Linked DNA regions of Neurospora crassa OR74A. The protein of the gene in region 1 purifies or fractionates together with the protein of each later gene. This does not show direct contact. Links are inferred from orthologs where the notes say so. Each region holds a gene or a part of one and is shown in the gene's direction. Other genes may lie near its edges.

Region 1 (4,116 bases):
TCCCTTTAAGAAGAATGTCCCTTCAATACTGCGTCTCAAAAATACGAGCATAAACACAGACACGGGAATGACGCTTATCCATTCCGATTGATGGTATTAAGGGTTTGAGGGTCAGAGGGGGGTCAGGGAAGGATTGGAAGGACTGGAAGCGATCCTCAAATGCCCCTGTACCTTGGAAGGAACTTCTACACCTAGAACAGACAGACAGAACAGACAGACAGACAGACAAACAGACAGACAGACAGAGACGGAGAGAAAATGAGTGTCACTGCATGCCGTTCATGCATTGATTCGGAACGGAGATCCCGAAGTTCGAGACGACACACTTTTAGTAACCTGCTGCCTACACGTCCAGTCATTATAGTAGTCATTGCGACCGACAGCATCTTGAGTAAACCAACGTCGGAAACCCGAGAGCGATAATGCTGTTGGCCGCGATTCTAGGTCAGATGTATCCGCACAGATTAAAATGTTTCAGTTCACGATGGTGCATTATCCAACGAGAAGCTTCCGTGTAATTTCGCGCGCTCTTCTCTCTCTCTCTTTCTCTCTCTCTCTGTCTCTCTCTCTCTGACAGTGGATTAAATATTGTGGTTGTATTCATCAGGACAAATTCGGCGGTTTAACCGTTAAACTTGGCAACAAGCACGATTCTGCAGGAAGCTCAGCATACCTACCTAATAAACTGATCGTTCAGACACAACGTGATCACACAGCAGGAACCTCACTGCATTTCAGTTTTATGCCTACAAGCCAGAGAAGCGTTTCATACTTTGCAGAAGAACAACTGTGAGCCAAGAAAAGACAGAGTTGCAGTAGGTGTTCGTGGGGTTTCCTGGTTCGAGAAATCTAAGTGCCGGCCGAGTGGGATAGATATGACGCTCGTAATAGAACCAACGAACTGTTTGACCGTTTAGATCATGGGGTTTGAACATGTTTCCTCTCCTTGTCCGACATGTCTTCTGTGCTTCTCTTCTACCGTGTAGGTTGTTAAAGAGGTATGTCCCCCTTTCGGTGATTAGTTGCCTGTCCTCGCTTATCGCTTATCACTTATACAGATAACGCTTTGGCAGCCGTCGGACAACTGCCATGTACCGCCAAGGCCAGAACCTCGACAAACGCCAAGCCCTGCTCACCGCCCGTGGGGTCAGGCAGGCCTATGGAGGTAGCGGCGAACTGCCCCACCATAATCCGCCCGCCAATCGTCCCCGGGCCCCGATGCCCGTCCGCGCGGCGGTCCTGCCCTGAGCTTGCCAAGCAACTGCAGAGGCAGTTGTCCGTTTCAATGCCCGACGGGATCCACCAAGAGAGAGAGAGAGAGAGCCCCAGACAGCACCGAGTGGCCACCGACCGATGACCGAAGCGCATCACTTCCACTTGTGACTGAGCAACAACTACCACCACCCACCAATTACCCACAGCTGAACGACCTCTGAGCAGACACTACCCACGTCTTCGAACACCAAGACGGCGACGACCATTTCCTAGAAACAACACAACCTTTATACCCCTAGTCGGCTTCATAGCCGCCACATAATCAACAGCCATGGTTTTGCAAGATCTAGGTCGCCGCATCAATGCGGCCGTCAGTGACCTAACACGCGCCCCCAACCTCGACGAAAAGGTAAGCTTGGATATCTGTTCGGTTGTCTGGTCTTCCCCGGACTGCGTTTGGTTGATGCTGTCACATCCCCTAGCAGTCAGCCAGTCCAGATCGCTGACCATCGTATGATCAACAGGCCTTCGATGGCATGCTCAAGGAGATCTGCTCTGCCCTTCTCGAAGCCGATGTCAACGTCCGTCTCGTCGGTCAACTACGCAAATCGATCAAATCCACCGTCAACTTCAAAGAACTACCACCGGCCGTCAACAAGAAGCGATTGATCCAGAAAGCCGTCTTCGATGAACTCGTCCGTCTCGTCGACCCCCATGCCGAGCCCTTCAAGCCAAAGAAGGGCAAGTCCAACGTTATCATGTTTGTCGGTCTCCAGGGTGCTGGTAAGACGACAACATGTACAAAGCTCGCCAGACACTACCAGTCGCGCGGTTTCCGCGTCGGTCTTGTTTGCGCCGATACCTTCCGTGCCGGTGCTTTCGACCAGCTGAAGCAGAACGCGACCAAGGCCAAGATCCCCTACTACGGCAGTTTGACGGAAACAGATCCCGTCGTGGTGGCGCGCGATGGTGTGGACAAGTTCAAGAAGGAAAAGTTCGAGATCATCATCGTCGATACGTCGGGTCGTCACAGGCAAGAGGAGGCGCTCTTCCAGGAAATGATGGACATTCAGACGGCAGTCAAGCCAGACGAGACCATCATGGTGCTCGATGCCTCTATCGGTCAACAAGCCGAAGCCCAAGCCAAGGCCTTCAAGGAGGCTGCCGACTTTGGTGCCATTATCATCACCAAGACCGATGGCCACGCCGCGGGTGGTGGTGCCATCTCGGCCGTCGCTGCTACCCACACCCCCATCGTCTTCATCGGTACTGGTGAGCACATGCTCGATTTGGAGCGTTTCGTACCCAACAACTTCATCAGCAAACTCCTCGGCATGGGCGACATGGCTGGCCTCGTCGAGCACGTCCAGTCCCTCAAGCTCGACCAAAAGGACACCATCAAGCACATCACCGAGGGCATCTTCACCATCCGCGACCTGCGCGACCAGCTGCAGAACATCATGAAGATGGGTCCCCTCAGCAAGATGGCTGGCATGATCCCAGGAATGAGCAACATGATGCAGAACATGGACGACGAGGAGGGCTCGCTCAAGCTCAAGCGCATGATCTACATCTGCGACAGCATGACGGACAAGGAACTCGACAGCGACGGCAAAATCTTCATTGACCAACCGACGCGTATGACGCGTGTTGCCAGGGGTTCCGGCACGACGGTCAGAGAGGTCGAAGACCTGCTTACCCAGCAGCGCATGATGGCTGGCATGGCGAAGAAGATGGGCGGCAACATGAAGAACATGCAGCGTGCCCAGAGCGCCATGGGAGGCGGCAACAAGGCGCAACAGCTGGCTGCCATGCAGAAGCGTCTGCAGAGCATGGGCGGCGGTGGCCAAGATATGGGCGGCCTGATGAAGATGCTTGGCGGCATGGGCGGCGGTGGTGGTATGGGTGGGATGGACATGAATGCCATGATGAAACAAATGAGCGGGTTGATGGGAGGTGGCGGTGGACGTGGGAGGAGGTAAAAGGTTGAAGGAAAAAAAGAAAAAGAGGGTGTGTGTCAGTCGGTCGATCGACTTTTAATGGGTTCGGTTCTTTTTCTTGCTAATGCGTCGTCGTCGGTTCGTCCATTTCGTTCAATTCTTTTTCCATGGCAGTAGCAGCAGCAAAAGAGCTTGCATCATTCTGGCGTCTGGAGTATATACTGTAACAACACACAACGAATAACGGGAAACTTGACTTGGCTTGGGGACATGCGGTTGGATGATATAGCAAAACAGACCTGGAACTCTTTTTATTATTATCCACGATCTACCTTAATCATGACCATGACAGCGAGACCCGGAGACATTCTCAAATGCTGCTTCTAAGGCGACGTTCAATGTGACCGTTGTTTGGTATGAGGACGATGAGTGAGGGCCAGAGGCATTTGAACCCCGTGAACGCCTCAACCGCGTGGCACTTATTTCGGCGATCCTGCGATTAGTCTTACGTTGTTGTTCCTTTTTGACGCTTTTATATAAATTCATTCTGTCCCATTTCTTTGGTTCGTTATAGTTCGATATTTTTTTCGGCAACCGTCTGTCCTTTCCCCCTCGGTTGGTTTGCTTATGTCTGATTTCTTCATAGGGCTGGCAGTCAACCGAATCTTTGCACGGCAAGTGGTAAATATCCCTTGATATAATACGGACCAGGCGGCACAGTTCGGGATGTATAAATTCGAAAGTCGTGGCTGCTTCTACTGTAGTCAGTGTGGGCTTATGCACACTTCATAAACACATCCCACCAACCACCGGAAGCGTAAGATCAAGTGGTAAGGGGTGAGATAGGAGGGAGAAGAACCGAGATACCCCTGAGAAGAAATGATAGAAGGAGGACTTGACTCTGAATTTCGTTCGTTAAGTCCGGTTCAAGCGCCCATGTATCTATTCCATCGTCTAGTTC
Region 2 (3,300 bases), on another chromosome or scaffold:
GCCGTCGTCCTCGTCGTCGTCCTCGTCGTCGTCCTCGTCAAATCCTCCAAAATCCCCCTCATCCTCGCCCAAGATGCTGTCTTCTTCTCCATCTTCATCAGAATCGCCTTCGACCATGTCTTCGTCTTGGTCAACGTCGTTGTCTTCGTCCGAGTTCAATCCCTCTAAGAGATCGTCCAAGCCATCGTCCTCTTCGTCCAGTTCGGAGACTTCATTTTCTTCCTCGTCTAGTTCGAATTCCTTCGTCTTCTTGGCCTCTTCCGCTTTCCTCCTTTTCGCCGCAAGCCACTCATCCGCTTCGGACTTCCGCTTCCTTTTCTCGGCTGTTTCGTCGTCTACGCCAGGAAGGCCTTCTAGTAGATCAAGAAGACCATCCTCCTGGAAGGACTTGGGAAGCGATTTGCGTCCCTTGATGCCGAGCTTCTTTTCGAGGTCTGCGATCTCCTTGTCGTCTTGCGCCAATCGTTCCATGACAGTTTTTGAGATTTTGGGCTGCGACTTCGATATGGTTTGTGTTGGGACATCACTTTCCTCTTCATCGTCCACGTCTTCGCCGTCTTTGTCGTCTTCTTCGTCGAGGTCTAGCTCATCGTCCTCGTCCTCGTCAAGATCGATATCGCCCTCGTCATCGAAATCCTCATCATCGTCCTCTTCGAGGGCAACATCTTCATCCTCATCCTCCAATGATCGTTTCTTCCCGTTCTTCAAGATGGGCTTGGGTTCCTTTGCTTCCTTTGACGATGCGGCATCGACCTTCTTCTGTGGTTTTGGGGCTGTAGCGCGCTCGGTATGGTAACTTCTTGTGGACGAGGTGCGGTGAATCCTTTTCTGTGTTCTCTCTGCTTTACGGCGATCCTTTCTAGACTGAAATTGATTCTTGCGACCTCCGTGAGATTGTCCTGCAAGAGTTAGGATTTCGTCGGAGAACCCTGATTGCCAGGCAGGAATGACAATGGCTGTATGGGCGCATGAACGGAGGCACGCTCACCTTCTACGCCGAGCTCCTTCAGGAGGTTGTCAGGCAATTTTGGAGCCTTTATCCTCATGGAGGGTGCCATGTTGTAATATGCGCGTGCGGAGGTGTAGATGTGATTGATTGGCACGACCTCCAAACTTTGCAAGGCTCTCTCGTCCGTCGCTGCATGGAAGAGCGCGGGATCGGGACCTTGCTATCGTTATCAGATAGTTTTTTTGGTTATCGGTCGGTGCAGGGTTCCAGGCATGTCGACTGCGGGGCCAAGAGCGCCAAGAGATGAAGCGGGTCCTCCGCTGCTTGGGACCCCACCCGGCTGGTTTTACGCTGGGGAAGCTCACTCCTACCAGACAGACGGGAGCTGCCCGGCCAACAGCAGTGGGGAAAGCTGCCACTCTCGTTGACTTTCATCAATCATTCTAGGTTGCCTTCACATTCACTCCTCAGCCGAATTGTTGTCTTGCCTTTTGCAAACGAGCATAAGAAGAAGACGAAAAACAACTGGATATCATGGGTCATTTAACTCACGATGAGGTAATGTTATATGTGACTGGCTGCTGTGATCCCGTCCTGAGGAGACCATGCTAATCTGACTTCAACCGACTATGGTATATAGTTCTTCTCCAAGCTCACCAATCTGTTCGAGTATAGGAAGAACCAAGATCACGGAACCATCAACCTAGTACAAAAGAGGCGTACGTGTACCTACACCAACCCAGCGCAGACAGGAAACTTCACACTCGGCTTTGCTATCGTCACGACAATCCTCCCAATTTCCGCTGTTTTCCAAGCTTAAACTCCATCTCCATCCACCCACGATGAGCTAAGTAGAGTGAAGCTCCGTCACCAAAGCTAACCCTCCCACAGTATCCTACAGCACCCCTTCCCAATCCACGGATACCGACCCTCTCACTGACCTCAACCCTGCCACCCCGCTCCCGGTTCTCATCCGCGCCACCAACGCCAAGGGCAAGGACAAGAGGACAGAAAAGGTCAAGCTGTCCACCATTGTCGAGCCAGCCGACCTGGAAACCTTCTACGGGAGGTACGCCGATGTTTGCAAGAAGGGCATGGGGGCATTGAAGCCGAGAGACAGGACCAAGAGGAAAAAGCAGTCGAGGAAGAAGAAGACAGGTCCTGCAGCCGCTGGAGGTCCTGGTGTTGGTGCTGGTGGGACTTCTATGATGGCTATTCCCTGATTGGACTCGAAACAAGCGTTGCAAATTACACCATTGCTGTTTCTGTCTTCTTGTGTGTACATGACCTAACGGAAGGAGGGATCTGTATGAGGGTACCGTATTAAATTTTGTAATATTCCCAAGCTTTGGTGGAATACCCTGGTTCAAGTCAGTGGGTACGCATGGTAAGGAAAGCGTTGGTGAGTAGTACCGCATCATAGCCTTCAATCTGCCACTCTCGGTTACCCTACCTCTCGACTCACCTGCTCGTAGTTGGTATTACCCTTCAAGACGACTAGCGAGAAAGGAAGGGAAGAAAAAAAAGGTGTTGGGAGAGGGGGGGAAGGGGGAATATGAAAAGCTCAGCTGCCTATCTAGCGTGCAGCGCACATCTACTATCTACGTGAGCTACTGGAGTTAATGAAAGGTGCGAACTAAAGGGATCATATGCCCGTTCTGGAGAATGTTCAGTCCTGCCGCAGGAAGTATGCGGCCCTTCGTGGAAATGGAGATGGAAGGGAAAGAGAGGAACATGAAATGAATGAGTGACGGAAGAAGCGTGAGAGAACGACTGCTGTGCCTCAACAGAGAAGCTGTTGAACGAAGGGGAGAGTAAGAGCGAGCCGAATTGATAACGTTCATATGCTTGTTCCAAATCTGCTGGCTGGCCTTCACGATCCTGTCTTGGGTGTGAACTTGATCACCGGGAGAGCGTGTATCTCCAGGTGACTCGATCTAAACGGTCCTATTAGCAAAGTTAACATTTCTCATTTGGTAAAATAACAAGACTGCCCGGGTGGAGCAGCAGCTACCGTACCCTGACGTCAAGCGTAGATATATTTGAGCCGCACTTATGAGCATCAGCTGAAGGGCAACCGGCTCACCCGTTCTCCACTCGATTCACCATTATGAAACACCACGAACACGTCACATCACGTTGGCTTCACCTTGATTGGCTTTGATTCAGGTTACCAAGAGTCGCAGTTCCAATGTTCGACCTTAATCCTAAGGTCAACCGAGATAATTGCATGTTCTCTTCAAGAGTACAGTCTAAAGGTGGGGGGATGTAGGTGAAACAAGATCAACTGTCCATTTTGAGGGTCCGAACCGTAAACAACTTGCTGAAAGAAAGGCCGAAGAGCCAAATGT
Region 3 (3,503 bases), on another chromosome or scaffold:
CAAGACATCACTGCGCACCAACACTTCTCCCTTGATTACCACGTCATCTTCATCTACCACCACTCCTACTGTCAGCAACGGCAATCTTCCGACTCCCACCAGCTCCACCACGTCTACGCCCGCGAACGCAACTGCTAGTTATGCCGGAGCTATTGGAAACGCGAGCCCTCCGCCCAAGATCACGCTTCCTATCCAGCCTAGACCTGTGAACGCAAATGCTCGTGCCTCGGCCACCCCGAAGCAGCCGGCCTGGAACCCCGGTCCTCGTGGCTTGGACCCGCCCATCAAGGTCTCACCAGCTGCTCTGGAAAGTATCAAGAAAAGGAAGGACAACAACAAACTTTGCAACAATCATTATCTAAGGGGTCCCTGTTCAAAGGGCGACGCCTGCTGCTTCGAACACAAGTATAAGCCTAGCAAAGAAGAGATTGACGCTATTGCCTTCTTGGCCCGCTTGAACCCTTGCACCAGCGGCCAGGATTGCGATGTCGAAGATTGTATTTATGGACACCACGTAAGTTTCACTCATCATGCCTCGAGTTCTGGTTATGTGCTGACCGTAATCACAGTGCCCCAACGTCAAGGACGGTGTCTGCACTCATCCTTATTGCAAATTTGAGGATGCCGATCACCCGCCCGGCACGAAGTACAGAAGCACAAAGACCTATGACTACTTCTCTTAAACAGGGAACGACGTAGCTTTAAGGGGAGCTCTGACGCGGTGTGGAGAAGATGGGCGTCTGCGAGTGAAGACCCATCTGATGAAGGGGGTTTCCTCAAAAAGAGTTTGGGAAAAGAAATTTATCGAAGAGGAGGCTTTCTCAGCGAAGGGAATGCGATGGCGAGCTGTCCGAATAGGAGGCATCTGAGATGAAAGGCACCAAGAAACGGATTTCACGCTCAGGGGCTTGCTGTGGCTGTTGCCTTTTGCGAACTGATCATTTCTCTAGTCTATTCAAATCAGGAGTCAGAATTTAGGAGATAGTTTGAGTTGTTTGTTGTTTGCGGATGCTAAACAGCGGAGGAACATGACGTACAAAATACAATCTAGTTTGTTTGTTAGCTTAGTACATACCTGTTCCAAGTACACTTGGACGAGATCACTTCCGAAATGTGCCAAATATTAGAACGACTAAATGCATGGCGAGGTACAGATGACACGCATCAACACAAGATTTATTTTGGAAAAAGCATATTCATAAGAACGCAAAGTATCACCTGGACATGAAAATGCTTGGTGAAGTTGACTCGAGGTTGGCGGTTGGTGCCGCTAATTCGTTGCCGGCCCGGAGCCGTGTGCACGGACCCCACTTTATTTCCCCCGGCCGGCTACCCCACTCAACTCAATTGAAACCACATCGACAGCTTGGACGGGCCACCCCACATTTCTCCAACAACTCACGGGGAGCTGTTGGTTCATCTGTTCAACCACCGCGACCTTCCACTTCCCCCCCCCCCTGCCATAATTATCACAGACCTAGTCGCCTCAGCTGTATTTGCGCATTCAGAGTTTGACTTCACCAAAATACCTACCCACCGAGCAAAGATCAAGAGCTACAGTCTCAGTCACAGACAACCGCCAAGATGCCTTCCCACCCGCGGGTAGAAGAAGTCGAGGACAGCGACCTTGAAATGTCCGACCCCTCCGAGGGCGACATTGACGACTTTGCCGAATCCGACATTCTCGTCCAGCGCGACGCTCCTCCCGCCTACGCCTCCAAAGTCATGCCCGGGCCCTCCTTCACCCCTCTCTCCGCCGCCCACCGCGCGCAGGCCGAAAAGCAACACCAACAATTCCAAGCTGCCCAGGCCGCCCAGGCTGCCGCCGCCGCTCAACAACGACAAGTCCCTCCCCCACAATATTCCCAACAACAACAACAACGACAGTACACCCAACCCCCCGGCTACCCCCAGATGCAAACCACCACCGACGACTCGGCCTACAAATCCTTCCAGTGCCTGTACCCATGCTACTTTGACGCCACGCGCTCGCGCGCCGAAGGCCGGCGCGTATCCAAGGAGCTAGCTGTTCCCAACCCGCTAGCGACCGAGATCGTCAACGCCTGCGCGCAGCTCCGCCTCTCCGTCGTTCTCGAGGCAGGCAAGCTGCACCCCAAGGACTGGGCCAACCCGGGCCGCGTCAAAGTCAACCTGAAGGAATTCATCCGTCTGCATGGCGAGAATGGGAAGCTGAAGAATAAACACCACTTGTATATCCTCGTGGCGGAGCATCTGAAGAAACACCCGACGACGGACGAGAGTCCGGCGCTGAGGGTCGTGGTGAGGGGCGCGGGACCCCCGCCTAGAGAAATGCTGGAGGAAGGCAAGAAGTGGCCGAGGCCGGCGGTGCCGAGGGGGTGGAAGATGAGTGAGCTGTTGCCGTACTATAGTCCGGCGATGACGGGCGGTGGGGTCAGTGAGAATTTCTTGAAGGATATGATGAAGGAGATGGGACCTGGTGGGATGCCGGGCATGCCGGGGATGCCAGGAGGAGGAGCGGGAGCGGGAGCGGGTGGGATGCCGGATATGGCGAGCTTGTTGCAGGGGATGGGAGGGATGGGAGGATTGGGTGGGTTGGCGAATATGTTGGGGGGGATGGGTGGGATGGGAGGTAGTGGTGCGACGAGTCCGGGGGCGAGTGGAAGTGAGGCGGCGGGGAAGAAGAAGGGGAAGGGAAAGAAATAGGGTGCTAAGTCTAGGGGTGGGAAGATGTGAAAGGAGTTGAGAGCGATGCTCATGATTGAGAAAGATTCAACCTGCCAGCAAGCCTTTTTCCCGCTTTGCCGTATAACATAATGAACAACAAACAGCGTAGACCGCAGAAAGCAGTTTACCAAAACGATAATACCATGTACTTTTTAACGAAGCCCCGTGGCCGGCTCGTCCGAAACAAAATAGATGAGACCAGCTAACAGCCTAGGTAAATCAGTCCGCTACCGCCCGTCGAGGTTTTTTTTTTTTTTTTTTTTTTTTTTTTTAGAGAGGTAGAGGTATATGATAAGAAGGATCATGATGCTCTTGTTACCCCAAATTTTTTTTTTAAGTTTTCGTTTTTGTTTACTCGAAACGGGATCTGCTCTCACGGGGCTTTTTTCGGCTTCTGTGTTTGCAATAACTTCACAGTTACCTGTTACTTTTTTTATTCGTCGAACTTTAGGGTGGTAGTCGGGGAGCCTACTATAAACTACAACAACCGAACACTTCCTGGTTGTCTTTGAGCACAATGAGCGATGGTAAGTTCCGCCAATAACCAACACCTTTCCTCTTTATCCTACGTGGGAGTCTAGGTACTTCCCCATCGCTAATCACCTTGGTTAGTCCTTCCCTCATGCGCCTCACTCAGTCCATCAGAATCCTGAACCCATCAACGAATACAGTCTCTACCACGCCACTCTGTTATCAACAGCTGAGTATTTGAAGAGGTTATTCGTGGTATCCGAGACTGAGATTCACCTCAAAGATAATGCGGCGGCGGCGACTCCCAGAACTCCTTTTCCCTCGAA

What was found.
Region 2: the proteins of NCU09696 (region 1) and NCU02405 purify together in Saccharomyces cerevisiae (affinity purification with mass spectrometry; 4 studies listed by BioGRID). This does not show direct contact. The link is inferred for Neurospora crassa OR74A from reciprocal best matches to the Saccharomyces cerevisiae genes SRP54 and SRP14.
Region 3: the proteins of NCU09696 (region 1) and NCU03485 purify together in Saccharomyces cerevisiae (affinity purification with mass spectrometry; 5 studies listed by BioGRID, with this or other methods). This does not show direct contact. The link is inferred for Neurospora crassa OR74A from reciprocal best matches to the Saccharomyces cerevisiae genes SRP54 and SEC65.

Annotation. Positions count from the first base shown.
Region 1 is NC_026505.1:805,942-810,057, forward strand, and holds NCU09696 (signal recognition particle protein), read left to right. Parts: upstream 1-1,244; 5' UTR 1,245-1,546; coding exon 1,547-1,624; intron 1,625-1,739; coding exon 1,740-3,197; 3' UTR 3,198-3,727; downstream 3,728-4,116.
Region 2 is NC_026507.1:2,612,426-2,615,725, forward strand, and holds NCU02405 (hypothetical protein), read left to right. Parts: upstream 1-1,329; 5' UTR 1,330-1,483; coding exon 1,484-1,507; intron 1,508-1,589; coding exon 1,590-1,668; intron 1,669-1,840; coding exon 1,841-2,172; 3' UTR 2,173-2,772; downstream 2,773-3,300. Other genes in the region: NCU02406 (nuclear protein), read right to left, coding at 1-899, 989-1,058. UniProt on the Saccharomyces cerevisiae protein: Component of the signal recognition particle (SRP) complex, a ribonucleoprotein complex that mediates the cotranslational targeting of secretory and membrane proteins to the endoplasmic reticulum (ER).
Region 3 is NC_026502.1:523,887-527,389, forward strand, and holds NCU03485 (signal recognition particle sec65 subunit), read left to right. Parts: upstream 1-1,373; 5' UTR 1,374-1,584; coding exon 1,585-2,685; 3' UTR 2,686-2,949; downstream 2,950-3,503. Other genes in the region: NCU03486 (hypothetical protein), read left to right, coding at 1-514, 570-683. UniProt on the Saccharomyces cerevisiae protein: Signal-recognition-particle (SRP) assembly has a crucial role in targeting secretory proteins to the rough endoplasmic reticulum (ER) membrane.